2 linked regions of the Mytilus edulis genome follow. The protein of the gene in region 2 interacts with the protein of the main gene of each other region in a biochemical or structural test. Links are inferred from orthologs where the notes say so. Each region holds a gene or a part of one and is shown on either strand. Other genes may lie near its edges.

Evidence for each region.
Region 1: the proteins of E3 ubiquitin-protein ligase MARCHF6-like (region 2) and ubiquitin-conjugating enzyme E2 J2-like form a complex in vitro, tested with the Homo sapiens proteins (2 studies listed by BioGRID, with this or other methods). The link is inferred for Mytilus edulis from reciprocal best matches to the Homo sapiens genes MARCHF6 and UBE2J2.

What each region holds. Positions count from the first base shown.
Region 1 is NC_092356.1:26,165,579-26,173,430, forward strand, and holds the start of ubiquitin-conjugating enzyme E2 J2-like, read right to left. Parts: upstream 3,016-7,852; 5' UTR 2,828-3,015; intron 304-2,827; 5' UTR 303-303; coding exon 181-302; intron 1-180. UniProt on the Homo sapiens protein: Catalyzes the covalent attachment of ubiquitin to other proteins. Seems to function in the selective degradation of misfolded membrane proteins from the endoplasmic reticulum (ERAD).
Region 2 is NC_092348.1:8,292,960-8,300,232, forward strand, and holds the start of E3 ubiquitin-protein ligase MARCHF6-like, read right to left. Parts: upstream 3,116-7,273; 5' UTR 3,027-3,115; coding exon 2,993-3,026; intron 1-2,992. Other genes in the region: WD repeat-containing protein 88-like, read left to right, coding at 3,285-3,377, 4,581-4,780, 5,142-5,205, 5,581-5,719, 6,176-6,302, 6,872-6,985. UniProt on the Homo sapiens protein: Endoplasmic reticulum membrane-associated E3 ubiquitin ligase that plays a critical role in mitigating endoplasmic reticulum stress, the regulation of cholesterol and lipid homeostasis, and ferroptosis.

The DNA.
Region 1 (7,852 bases), on a different chromosome or scaffold from region 2:
TAACTGGCATTATAACTGATGGACAAATCTTTGATCAAGTCAATTGATATTGAGATAGTTAAAAATCTGCCATTCAAGTCCAGACATCTAGGAACTAGTATGATACATCTGTTACAACTAATTATTTAATTTTCAATGGGGTTTTAATCATGTTTAAGTGCGATATATAATCAATATTACCATTCCAATATATTAGATGGAAGTGGAGCAGCTTTGACATATGGTACTGGGTCACGCATAATACGCATGAAATCTTGCTTTAGCCTGGCTGTTGCCGTGTTGTTGACACGTTTTCCACTCATCCTAAAAATATGGATAAGATCATAATTTTACAAAATGCATATACGACAAAACATTTCTTGGGTTTAATGGGTACATATATATAACTAAATGAAATACATGATAAACTTTTAAAAAATATGTAAAACATTGATAATTTTCAATATATGCTATACTCAAATGAAACTTAAAGAGTTCAATTTTTCACCATTATGACCATTATAAACATGACGTAATAATTATGCATTAAAATTTTTGCTGTTTTTGCACTTGACAATATTCAACAATCATGTCTGCATTGTTGCATCAGACATTTCTCTTATTACATCAAATGCATTGCTGTAAGAAACATTTTTTTTAATGTAATGTCAGTATTGACGTCAATATTTTACGGGAAAGTCTGCAAGAGTGAAAGCCAATAATGAAGGACAAATATCCCTATCGCTATTTGGAAATCTGTCCTGCTTGAACTATTGACATCATACAACAATCACTTTTCCATTGTCAAAATGATTGTGGTGTCAGATATATTTTTTATTATGACGCCAAAATTTTAAGGGAACATTTTTCTTCTTCTTCCGAATACGAGAGTAGACTCTTCTTCTTCTTCTTCCTTTATAGTACAGGCCTCCCAAGTTAGTACTACTGTACTGTTTTATGTACACGTTCGATGTGAAATTACAACAAATGTGCGAGTATATGTGAATTATCTACAGTGTAGGAGTAGTAGGAGTGTAAAAGTTTTGTCCAGTAATGACAAACAATTAGCAATAAGGTACATATACATGTATATAGGGATAAGGAATTGAGACTGAATTATAACCTAGTTTGCAGAGTAGATTGGACACATCATGTTTTTGTAAACTGTCAATAAGGTCCCCGGTGTCCGCACGGCTGGTGATACCGCTCATCAGCTGATTTCGTTATATCAACAAAGTACATGTAACATAAATAGAATCGTCCTTGTTTTAGCCTTCCGATGGGAGAAAAAATGAAAATTGATAAGTTCAAGAGTAAAATAATAACTGCAATCCCTTTATTTACAATATTTAGTCAATTTCCATTAAAAAAAACACATAATGGTATAAAATTTGTTTTAATTAAGTCAAATTTTTATCAGATTGAAATAATTTTTGCTCTGAATCCTTGGCAGTGTGCTTGGTTCAAATTCAGTTATATTTCGGAGTAGAAAATCTTCCCTTTATTAAAAATAGGCTATTTTTGGAAGGCATGCGCGAAAACACCTGACATTGGAGGAACTCTCAGAACAGGGGTTTTCCTAATTTTGGACACACATGTCACAAAATTTTGAGGGTGAAACCATACAACCAGGCCATTCATTAGGAGGCGGTACCCGGTACTTTTATCCTCCTATGCTATTGACAAGTACCGCCTAAATGTAGGAATTTGTATATAAGATATTCATGGAATAAATTGAAAAGTACCACCTAGAAACGTGGAAAGTATCAGTCAACATGAAAGATAATGAAATCCCTGATTACAACAGTCAGAGCTAAGACATAAACAAGTCTATTTTTGTTTTTGACTTTAAGAAGTCATAACTTGTATTTATTATAAAAATATGTTTCAATTTTAGACTCATCTAAGTCAGAAAATGACAGACTTGTTTAGGTCTATTTATGTTGATGAAAATACTTAATTTTACTTGGTGGCCAAAGTACACCACCTATGACATCAAAAACCTGTCTGAGAGTTCACAAGGACTTGAGTTATCTATATTTAATTATCTAATTGAACATCATTACTAAACACAGATGTTTTACCTCATTAAGTGTGGTTCCAGGTGGTTGCATTATAAGGTTAATTAACATTATCTCCGATTTTTTAGACTCTCATTCATATTTTTCTTTAGAAGACAAAGCATTGTCTTTTGATGTTATCATTATATGATTTAGATGCATGACCTTTTTATAAATATGCGTGGGTCTTGAAGTTAGCTATTTTTGGTAACTTATCGACTTGAAGCCTCCCCGAGTCGATATTTGCAATTTTTTGATTCTGGTCAATTATTTCTTGCTTAACAATATTCGACTTATTAAAGTCATATTTTGTCTTGTATTTAAGGGAGACAAATCCTAAAACTTACAAATTTAGACCTCTAGGAGTCAAAAGCAGATTAAGACTTATTTATGTCTGAGCTCTGACTGTACAAACAGAAGATTTTCAGAAATAAAAGTATGTTATGAATGTGTTCACACAATATTATACAATTATTGGTTTTATCAGTTGAATGAAGCGAAGGCATAAGTCTTAGGTGCGCGGATACACCAGACTGCACTGTATCGTATCCAAGACCAATTGCTACTGAATTATCAACATGTTGGAATGCTGTCTCACTGACAAAATTTGTAAAATTACAAAGAGAAAGTCTGGTTAGTGATATAGTGGTTTGGTTTCAAGCAGAGCCAGAGGGGAAATGATTTTCAAACCACTTCCTTATCATGTAAACAGGTGTCCCTGACAGTGACAGTCACGTAAAAAATAATTTGACAATCATCACAATATGATTTCTGCCAGATAGGCTTACCTGAATTAATACGTGATATTAAAATAAGGTAAAATAAAATATCAAAGTTGGATAGACATAATGACAGCTGCTTTCGCTTTTACTTTCTGAATGAACAATTCATGAATGAAATGTTTCTGTTTACGTCATTTTTACAGGATTTTTTACTAAAAGACCCTTTCATCATTTTGATGGGAAAATCCCGAGGTGTCTCGAAATTTTGTTTAAATAAAAGAAGGATTAAGTTGACACCAAAAGAATAAAAGTTAGATTTTATGTGATTATCAAATTATTCCTGTAATTACGTTGACTATAAACAATAAGTCAAAAGACTTAGAGAAAACAATTACATTAGAATAATAAAAAATAAAAATCATCTGAAAGCAAGGCATTGGTAGCCAAACCAGGGACTTTCTATACAAGAAAGTCCGAACTAATAAAAGTATCATATTAACACCATAAAAAGTAAGTAAAACTTTATTTGGATTCGGCATATTGCCAAACAATGCAAACATAAGCTCTAATGAGCTTTTCACCGAATATAAAAACATATGCAATAACAAATAAAACAAGGCATGCAGCATGCAATAAATAATAAAAAGCAGCACCAAAAATTAACTCTAAGCAAATAGCATACACATGTATCTTGCAAAATACCAAAAATATATGAAGCATTAATTTTTTTTTTAATTTGTAGTTTAAATTTATTTTTTTTTTAAATTATGATTTATAAAGTAAAAATTTCAAATCTTTCAAATTTTAAAATGTAAAAAACAAAATTTCAGTTGCAATGCAAGCTGTTAATGCAACATAAAAAGCATATAAAATATTGTAACACAAATTATCTACAGGCAGAGCAAAAACATTCTGTTCCACTCCAGGACTGAACAAGACTCTTAAAATGTGAGAAGCTATTAACAGTCCTGAAATGGTCTGGTAAACTATTCCATAAAGAAGCAGCAGCAAAACCAAAAGATTTTTTTCCATAATTGATCATAACTCATATTCGGTATGAATGCAAAGATCACTGGCACTAAGATAAATCAAAGATGTGTGTACTACTATACAAATCCTTGAAGATAAAAGCATAAAAGGGAAACTAACTACGAGATTTCTATAAAATCTCAAATATGATTGCTTTTGTTCAATCATTAATTAAAGTGATACAGTGAAATAATAATTCGCTTTTTAGCTGCTAGTGTGGTTCAATTTTGTCAAAATAAGTTAAGAAACATTGATGATGACTTATCCGCTTGTAGGTGAATGGTTCGACCTCATTGAATCCGTATTCATGTGAACTGTAATTTAACCCGTTATAGCTAGAGATGGATAACGCATGAACTGTCAACATTGAAAGTGAATAAAAGCTAAATCATTTAATTAATTGATTCGATCCACAAAATATCATTCTTATACAGATAAAAACAATGATAAACATTACTATATAAATTTTTAAATCTATAATTTGAAATTAACCTAGAAAAATCCAATTGCACGAGTTCCCTTATCTATTTATATCTATACTTATGTTTGTATCGCTTATATAACAATCGGACGTCTTCGATCGTAGGTCAACTCGATAGTTAATAATTTGGCGTCTTGACTAAAATACACACAAAACGAAGCTGTATATATTCTCGAGCCCATGCCCCGTAAATTGTTAATTTTCGACTTTTTATAATTTGGATAAATTTTTTACATTATAATAAATAAAATATGAGTTACTGTATATGAGTCAAATTGGTGAACATGAATTCAAGTGACAGCTAGTGCCCCTTTAAATCAGAACATAAAACACTAAAGAAAATAATGTACAAATTACAAATTGATCACTCAGTATAAGCAAACATATACAACTATATCATGCGGTCTAAAAAAAATCTGAATCTTTTTATCACTGCCAAAGTCGAGAATGGAACCCTTACAACTGCTTCAAAATATCGTAACGGGTTTGTGTTTACAAGAAACATGTATGATTTTGTGGTAATGTATAGTTATGAAAGAATAGAAAAAGTAGTCGTTGTTCAACATATGCAAAGATAATTGCAATATATAGTCAATGCAGTCCGAGGAAAATAAATATTATTTTCGACTACAATTTCGGCTCTACCGTCATTCTTAATATTCTTTTCATAGGTAACATTTTGATGGATCATCCCTGTTAGTGTGGGACAAACATTGAGAATAACTCAATGCTCTTCTGCTTTTGTCTCGAATGTACTACAAGAATATTTATCGTAGAAAAACACTTTTTTAATTCTCTTAATTGAGACCGAAAACGCTGTCTATCAATAATAATTGTAAGATGTGGTATGAGAGCCGCCTAGTGAGACAACTCTCCATCCAGGTCACAAGGAGTAAAAGTAAACCAATATAGGTCACAGTTTAACCCCGCCACATTATTTATGTATGTGCCTGTCCCAAGTCAGAAGCCTGTAATTCAGTGGTTGTCGTTTGTTTATGTATTACATATTTGTTTTTCGTTCATTTTTTTTTTACATAAGGCCGTTAGTTTTCTCGTTTGAATTGTTTTACATTGTCTTATCGGGACCTTTTACAGCTGACCATGCGGTATGGGCTTTGCTCATTGTTGAAGGCCGTACGGTGACCTATAGTTGTTAATGTCTGTGTCATTTTGGTCTTTTGTGGATAGTTGTCTCATTGGCAATCATACCACATCTTCTTTTTTATATATTCAACACGGAGCATTGACTGACACCAACATTGGCGGATCCAGGGGGGTCAGGGGGTTGGTACCCCCTTTTTTTGGACGATCAATGCATTTGAATGGGAACCTGTGGTTGCACCCCACCCCCCTTTATCCTGGGTTGGGAACCCCCTTTTTTAAATGGCTGGATCCGCCCCTGACCAAACAGCAGTCTACAAAGGGCCTTAAAACATTATACTAGTGTAAAATCATTCAAACGGGAACACCACCGGTCTATTCAATATAAAATACAAGAAACGAGAAACATTATGAACCACACCAACAAACGACAACCACTGAACATCAGGTTCCTGACTTAGGACAGGTGCAAACAAATGCAGCAGGTTTAAACGTTTTAATAGGTACCAACCTTCACCCTTACCTGAAACAATAGTCAGTGTAACATCACAACATGTTTAAAATTCTCCAAAATGTGCAACATTTTATTAGAATGTCTAACAGATTTCTTGTACTTTATAAAGTGTAATTTGTATACATGGTATATATACTGGAACCATCATTATCGTCGCCATCAACATCTAAATTTATGTCATCACAAAAATATTATCTTTCATTTTATTCTTCTATCATATTCAACACTTTGTCTCTATCTTAAACTTCTTATACTACTAGTTATATTAAATTAGACAACATTCTTTAAAAAAAATTGATGTGAAATCATTACAATTAGTTGTTGAAACGTTTTCTTATAAGGAATATAATTTAGGTCTCAACTCTTTTGTACATGTAGTTCATACACAGTGCATGATTTAAAATAGCATATAATTGTAATGGATATGGATTTTTATGAATGAAACAAACTGAAATGATTGGCACTTAAAATATTTATCTTATACATTTAAATGCCTTTTATACCTTATAGCTTACATAATCATATTTTAGAAATTCTTACATAACTTTATGTTCTAATATTCTGTTGCAATGTTAGGTCTCGCGTTTCACATTGGATAACCTTTGGTAATATTGTGATTCGTTGGTTCACGTCTATTATAATTGTTTTCTTAAATTATTTTGTTATACATTAGAAAGTTAGTTTTATCAATTGAATTGTTTTATATTTTTCATTTTTTATATAGTATAGCATACTATACTGTATGGGTTTTTCGGCATTCAGTGTCAAAGACGGTGCTGTTGCCTTTATATACTAGTGGGTCTCATTGGGGTCTAAGCGTGACGCGGGATTGCCTATTTTTTTTATAAGCGTGACACGTGAAAGTCAAATTATTGTGGCGTGAAAACGGGAAATGAGGTCTTGCGGGACCCGGGAAATGACAAAAAAATGAGAATTGCTTACGTACATAGTGTAAGCGGGATACGGATTTCTGACAAAACAGTAAGCGGGATCCGGGATCGGAACCCCCCAATGAGACCCCCATACTAGTTGCTTACGTCTACTTTTTTTGCATGTTGTCATGAGATAGTTCAGTGTCTAATTGCCAACCATTCTACATCTTCTTTTATATTTTTATCATCGGCTATTATCACTAATGACACACTTTGCTTGAGTCGTATAAACAAAAATAACAGATTATTTGCAAATTTAGTCTTCCCTTTATAGGATTTGAAACCATGCATACTGTGACATTTCAGCGTACGGATATGGATAGTAAACTGCACATTGCTACAAAACAAAGAAATATTGATGAAATCGTGGATCTTGGCTAATTTTCAATTTAATAGAACCTTTCTCGGAACCTATAGATTAACTTTATCTAACATTCTAAATAACAAAATACATGAATAAAGTTCGATCACTTTCAACAGCAACAATAGTGATAAGATTATACAACATATCAAAAAATGTGAAATCATTTAGATAATATAATGAAACATGGCAACAATTTTTAAAATTTCATTCTAACTAAAACTGAATATGACCTAAGACAACTTCTGTGTGACCGGAGCAAGTATATGTGACTGGATTAAACGAGTTGGGTTTTTTCTAGGATAAAATTCAAGCTTGCTCAAACTGGTTAGGAATGACAAGGAAATACGGAAATTAATCCGGCATTTACCCAAGTTTTGGGTTTTAGAATCGCCCTAAAATTAGATCACAGCAAAACATTATTATGATGGTGTAATTTTTATCGAAATTTGATAAGTTTTGATAAGAATTCTCTCACGTTTTTCCTGTCAAAGTGAGAATTTTAAAGTCCGAAACATTTCGAGAACACATTCTATTATTGGAAATGAATATGCAATGATAATGAGGAAAATATAAAGCATGTAGCGCTTGTTGTTTTGGCGCGTGAGGACATCAGTGCTAACGCAAATGCCAAATGTGTATCGATCTTAACCTTCATCTGGTAAAGGAAAGC
Region 2 (7,273 bases):
ACAATATAATTCAAAAGGCATAAATAAACACCATTACTAGTGTTACATAGTATGCTTCATGTTAATATTTAAAATCTATTTTCAATGTTATATTAAAGTTTTTTTAAACCTGACAGGAAACCATAAGAAACCGAAAGCAGTTTTTTAGTTTTATTTTATTGCAAAATCTGCTTAAAATAATCTGAACAGTATACTTTTTCTTAAAATCCATCTTAAATGTAACAGTATTATAAGACTCCTTAATATGTGCTTGTTTTGAAAACAATTAGTACAATTTATTCAGAATTTTCCATATTTTCTTCATTGATACAGGATACCATAATCGTTGTATCTTGATGTTTAAGCCAAAAAAATGTATTTAATATTTGGTTTTGATATTCCAGTTATATACAATTTATTCCAAATCATTGGCAATGTAACATTCTTTAAATCCAGTAAAGAAAAAAACTTTTAACTTGGAATTAAAATCTTTAAAATAGGCACAATGTGATACTTGTGACCTGTACACCATCTACATGGTTTCCACATTTTAACCTACTTTAGTGGGCTAAAATCAATTAAGTACTTCCTTTCAAGTAATGCATGGTAAAAGTTTACTTCTCCTTTGACAAGTTTATTGCGTTTCTGATAAGTGTTTGCAGAACATGAATAAAAAATATTAATTAAAAACTGTGACAAAGATTCCAACTTTGTACATTCCAAGTGTAACGGTATATTAACATGTATTTTTTTATTAAATTATATTTATTCACCTAAAATATCCAGTAATATTTACTGCTGAAGTTGAATCAATCCAACGAGCATTGGTACAATGATAAGAGACGTAATTTAGATTGATTTTTCCAAGGACTCTTCACGTCATTATCGGGAAACGAAGTGTGTTCTAACGTCTGTCAAATATGAAATCGATTTTGTCAAGTCATTGGGCATTTATTTTCACACAGGATCATATGTAACATTATGCACATAGGAAAAATAACAGACCACCAGCGCAATCTCTTTGACAATTGTATTTTCCTCTTTTAAACAAGACGAAACAAGTCTACAGATTATGTTTGCTAACATCCCGTTGGAAACAAAAACAATGTTTAGACCTAGTATTTCGTACATCCGGCCGTAATGACGTTATCACATGTTAGTCACATGTTTCATGTATGACCGGAAATGATTAGAACTTAAGGACAAAAACAATTTTAATAAATAACTGGTCTTCTGTTTCGTGTGAAATGTAACGCATAACGATAACGTAATTTTCTTACTTAATTATTACGAAGATCAAAACAAGAATGTAAATCATCTCGGATTTACCTGTTTGAACATCTCGGAAGAGTCCATATTTGCATATTGTTTTTAAGAATTCTATTACAACAAAGCAGATTACATCATCTAAAAATTGCGTTACGAAATCGGACACAAAAATCACGCCACTCTGCTTACATCTGCTACATAAATACTTATAGTTCTCGGCATTTTCTTCTCACTATTCCTATTGGTCAATGTTCTTTGTTATTTGAAAGCAAAAGTTACGAATTTGCCAGTGACGATTATCTATAAATCAGTCAGCGTTATGCTCTTCGGAAGCAAAAAGTAACGCGAGAAACGACACAAAAATACGGTTGTAGAATCTTTGAAATTCGTATATTTTAATTTTTTTTCTAGGGAAGAGTAGCATACACTTGTATATTGATAAAAATAATGGCATCTTTAGATGTAGTTGCAACTTTTCTTACAGTAATTCACATTTTATCACTTTTCTATAGTTATAGGAAACGGAGCCCAATAGCAAATTATGGTCCATATCCGATGTTACAAAAAAAAGTGTTATAGAATAGAATATTTTTATATGTTATAGAAGCCTTTGATGTAACCTGAAAAAAATACAAATAATTACACCAAACCAGAAGATCAAACTATAAAGACCTTGTTGAAAAACAGATTACGTAACTTTAATTAATCAGCATTGGATTGAATTAAGTGATTACGAGTGGCATTACCTTAGTTCACAATCAGCAGACAACTGTTGAATAAACAAACCAATTATAGACTAATGATTTGATTAAACAAGTCATTATTATGCGATAAATGTTATAGGTCCATTGGACTGTAAATATTTATTTAGCTATTCTGTGTGTTAAAAATCGCCATGAAATTCAAAGTAAAAGTTATCATGGAAAATAACTTCATAATTTAAAAATGTAGAAACTGCGATACAAACAGACACAATAACACTAATTTTCGTATGGATTTAAAATAGTTCGTTAACTGGTACTCCAATACTTCGCTGACCTGTTGTCATCCATCATCGATCGGACACTTTTTTCAAATTCCATTTATACTGTTAAAGTTTGTGACAAATTCCTCCAAAATCTAGTTAATTCATATTTTATTATGGGCCGGATCGACTTGGGGACGGATCGACGTGGGCCGGATCGACTTGGGCCAGATTGACTTGGGGCCGGATCGGTTTGGGGCCCGAACGACTGGATACCTTTCGAAAAATCCCGCTTGAACTTTTGACTTCATTCAACAATCACTTTTCTATTGCGGCGTCAGATATTTTCTATTATGATGTAAAAATTGACTGGAACTTTTGTGATGTCCAGTAATGGCAGACAAATAGCGATAAGGTGTATTATAAATATCACATCTCTTATTTTAACATTATAAATGTTTTCACATCACATTCATGACATAATATTATTATATATTCAAGACCATGGGTTAAAAATGGTATTGCCAACCATATTAATATGTTTTAACTGTTTAATATTTCTTTTAATTACATGTAACATAAGAAACTGTAAATAATCTTTGCTGGATAATTTCTGCACCTTTGTGAGTTGGTCCGACTAAACATAAAATTTAGAAAGAAAGCTGTAGTGTACCAGCAATGCTTCCAAATTTGAATGATATGTGAAGCATATAGCTTGATTTGTGCAAAATATAATTGTTTCTTCTTCTATCATTAAAACATGATCCTTATTTTACCCACCTAAGAGTCCATCTGGATCCAGAGGCTCGTCCATTTTCGATTTGTGAAAGTTCAAGGTCAGATTGTCGTTGTCGTAAACAATAATATTCGTCAAATTACATTTTATTCAGAATTTCAGTTTTATTTTCATGATAGTTTTGTGATAGTTCTTGAAATAAAGCTACAAATACAAATAAATTAAATTAATATATTTTACGTCAATATTTATTCTTCTTTCCGATAGGAAACCAGGGACGCGAAAATTTTCTAAACACACTTATAAAATGTGAAAAAGAAACATTGCATATGGACAATGGATGAAGAAGAATTATCAGTTGAAATAGTACAAGATGAGAGCGAGGCTGGCCGAACCACGGCAACTTGGGAACACGAAGATTTAGCTCAGGTTTAGATATCAAAATTTCATTACAAAATTTGATTTGAACATAATTTGTTTGGGCTAGATTCCAAGTTTGACCCTCTTCCTGACGGAGGGACACATATGTCCATGTTTTAATTTATGCAAGCTTCACGTCAGTGCTGTACCTTTATCAAAATAAAAGAGTGAAAATTAAAAAGTGTTATAAGTTTCTACAATGTCTCTCAAATGTAACGGTCGGCATAATGTCACACATGTACAATGTATATTGAATGATGTCATTTGTTTAGCATGTCCATCACAAACGTTGAACGGTTGTATTTTCTGGCATATGAAATGCAACCCTGAAAAACAACTGGCAGCAAGAGGGTTAACAAAATTGAGAAAGGAAATGGGGAATGTGTCAAAGCGACAACAACCATACCATACAGCAGACAACAGCTGAAGGCCACCAATGGGTCTTCAATGTTGTGAGAAACTCCCGCACCCGGAGGTGTCCTTCAGCTGGCCCCTTAAAAAAATGTATACTAGTTCAGTGATAATGGACGTCATACTAAACTCCAAATTATACACAAGAAACTAAAATTAAAAATCATACAAGCATCTAACAAAGGCCAGCTGGGGCTCCTGACTTGGGACAGGTGCAAAATTGCAGCGGGGCTAAACATGTTTATGAGATCTTAACCCTCCCCCTATACCTTTAGCCAATGTAGAAATTAAAGTAAACGCATAACAATATGCACATTAAAATTGAGAATGGAAATGGGAAATGTGCCAAAGAGACAACAACCCGACCATAGAAAAAAAACAACAGCAGAAGGTCACCAACAGGTCTTCAATGTAGCGAGAAATTCCCACACCCACACCAAGAGGCATCCTTCAGCTGGCCCCTAAACAAATATATACTAGTTCAGTGATAATGAACGCGATATTAGAATGAAAATGGGGAATGTTTTAAAAAAAAGAGACAACAATCTGACCAAAGAGCAGATTACAGTGCAAGGCCAACAATTGTTCTTCAACACAATGAGAAAATCCAGCACCCAGAGGCCAGATTCAGTTAGCCCCAAAGCAAAAATGTGTAATAGTTCAGTGAAATTAGATGTCGCACTAAACTCTGGAAAATATAAATGAACTTAGTAACAAGTAAATGAAAATAACTTATACAAGTATTACCCCTGACTGCCCTCCTTATTTTTATATGTACATGTATGTAATTTTCTTTTTCAGCTAAGAATAAAGGTTTTCCGTGGACATTTAGACTCAGTAAGAAGTTGTAAATACATTGACAATGATCAGAAAATCCTCTCTGCCTCAGATGACAAGACAATCAAGATTTGGGACGTAGAGACAGGAGAAGTTCTCCATAACTATACAAGATGTCATGATAGCATTATATCACAAGCTAATGTCAATGACAATGGAAGGAGGTAACATATGCATATCTATTCATTAATCTGTTACATTATTTATAACAAAAAATAGAAGCATTGAATAATCATGGAGTAAAATTGTAGCATTTTTAAATATCATTCTCAATTTTATGTATTTATTATTATGAGTTTAGTAATATTTCAACAGATATGATGATCTTATCTAAATTTTATAAATGTGATGGAATACCTATCAATCATAATAACCATTGTATGTTGGGATATTGAATGTTACTAAGCATTGTATGTTGGGATATTGAATGTTACTAACCATTGTATGTTGGGATATCATATTGAATGTTACTAACCATTGTATGTTGGGATATTGAATGTAACTAAGGTTATTGATTATTTACAGATTTGTTAGTTGTGGATGGGATAAGAAAGTTGCTGTTTGGGATATTGAATCTGGAAATTGTGTGGTGAGTTAAGGTTATAAAATAAACTGAATTAACTGGATGCTCTGTAAGGCTAAATGTCACCACGATCTGGGTTATAATAGTAAACAAACTGAATCAGCTGGAGGTGCTGTAAGATAAATGTCACTATGATTTAATATATTTTTATTTTGAGTATGAAGAAATGTAGTTAAGTTATTATCTTGTTTGTAAATGTGGACTACTTAAGTATCTCCATCTTATTCCAAAATCTACTAAAGGTCAGTGGTTCTCTCCAGGCACTCTGCCTTCCTGGTCTATCAATACAAAATCTTTTAATCAACCTATTTCTGAAAGATTTCAATTATTGAGTAGGTACTACAAAAGAAGAAAAATATGAAAACGTTATTTTTCTTGCAGTGGTCAGGAAAACATGCTGGTATTGTGACAAGTTGTAATTTTTCACATGATGGGAAATATGTGGTCTCTGGATCAGACTTGGATAACACGGTTAAAATCTGGGACTCTAATACAGGAGATCTCATACATAATGTTGACGGTATGTACAAAAAAGTTTGTAATTAATCCTGTATTAGGATTTTGCAAAATGTATGCTACTCATTGTATCTATTAGGTACCAAATTTTTTACCAGCTATTGTTGTGGAACTACTTTTAGAATTTCACAAACAAACAAACTGGATGTTTTAGTATCTCATCTATTAATTTAATAAAGAAACAATTATTATGAAAGGTTGTTATGCTAATAATTGTTTCAGTTTATTTTACTTTGATCAAGAAATTAACAATATGTAGGCTTTTCAACCATGTTAAATTAGAGTGAAGAATTATTAAATGCAGTGGTAGAATCAGTTCTTTTGACGATTTTGAAACTTTGGTGCTTTTTTTCTGATGATCTAATTTTAAAGTAATTGTCAAAACATAAGATTGGTTTAAGTGAATGGACGTCAATGGTACAAGCTTAATTTGTTCAACCTACATTTGTATTTATTTCAGATATTCACACCAGTACCATTACGAAATGTATGTTTGCTCCTGGAGATGATAAGATTATTACAACCTCCATGGATAAAACTGCCAAATTCTATGATCTAAAGACTTTAAAAGTCACCATTACTGTACAGTAAGTACTGTTTATAGTAAAATGTTGTTATATCATTCACCAGAAATTCAAACAGATAAAATGAACTAAGCATGATGTACTAAGATAAAATTATATAAAAATTAGAAGATGTAATGTGATATTCAATAAGACAACTCTCTACCAAAGACTAAAAATAAAGTAGGTTAATAACTAGAGGTCTGTGACTCACAGTACAGATTTAACAATGAGCAAAACCCTAACCACACAGCAAGCTATAAAATGCCCCAAAGGACAAAATTAAACCACTATTTACAGGCTCCTGACTTGGCACAGGGAAACATTTTCTAAGATCTATTTTGAAATAAGTATTCTGCTGTGACCAAGTAAATGTACTAAATCTTGAGTTTGCATTTTACTGATTCACAGTATTTCTGACACTGTAAGGCTGGATTAGAAATTAGAATGTACTTATCAGAGTAAAATAAAATGATGTTATCAGAACTTTAGCATTTTTGTTTAAGTGAAATGCACTTAGTGTATGATATGATACTGTATGAAATGTTAAAAATAGATAATTAAAGTTTTATTATTTGACACTTTTCTTGCAGAGGACATATCAATATAATATCATGCTGTGATATCAGTCATGATGAGAGAAAGTTTGCTACTGGTTCCTGGGATAAAACTGTTAATATCTGGGATATCGCTACAGGAAGTTACAGGTAACATCTTTTCCCATATATCTGCATTTAAACCTTGATATCAGACTTTCAACATCAAATTTAATGATTTTTAGAAAAGCAGGCAACATCTCAGTGTTTATCCTCTTAGTTTGAAAAATATATATATATACTATGGCCCCCCAAAGAAACCTAAACAACATGTCTGAGATAAAACTTCCTGTTTAGATTTCTTGTGTAACATTTTGAGAAACGTTTAAAAAATTATATAAATACATACTTATCCATTGTTTGTGAGCATAATGTTCTTAAATCACACATCTATATTTC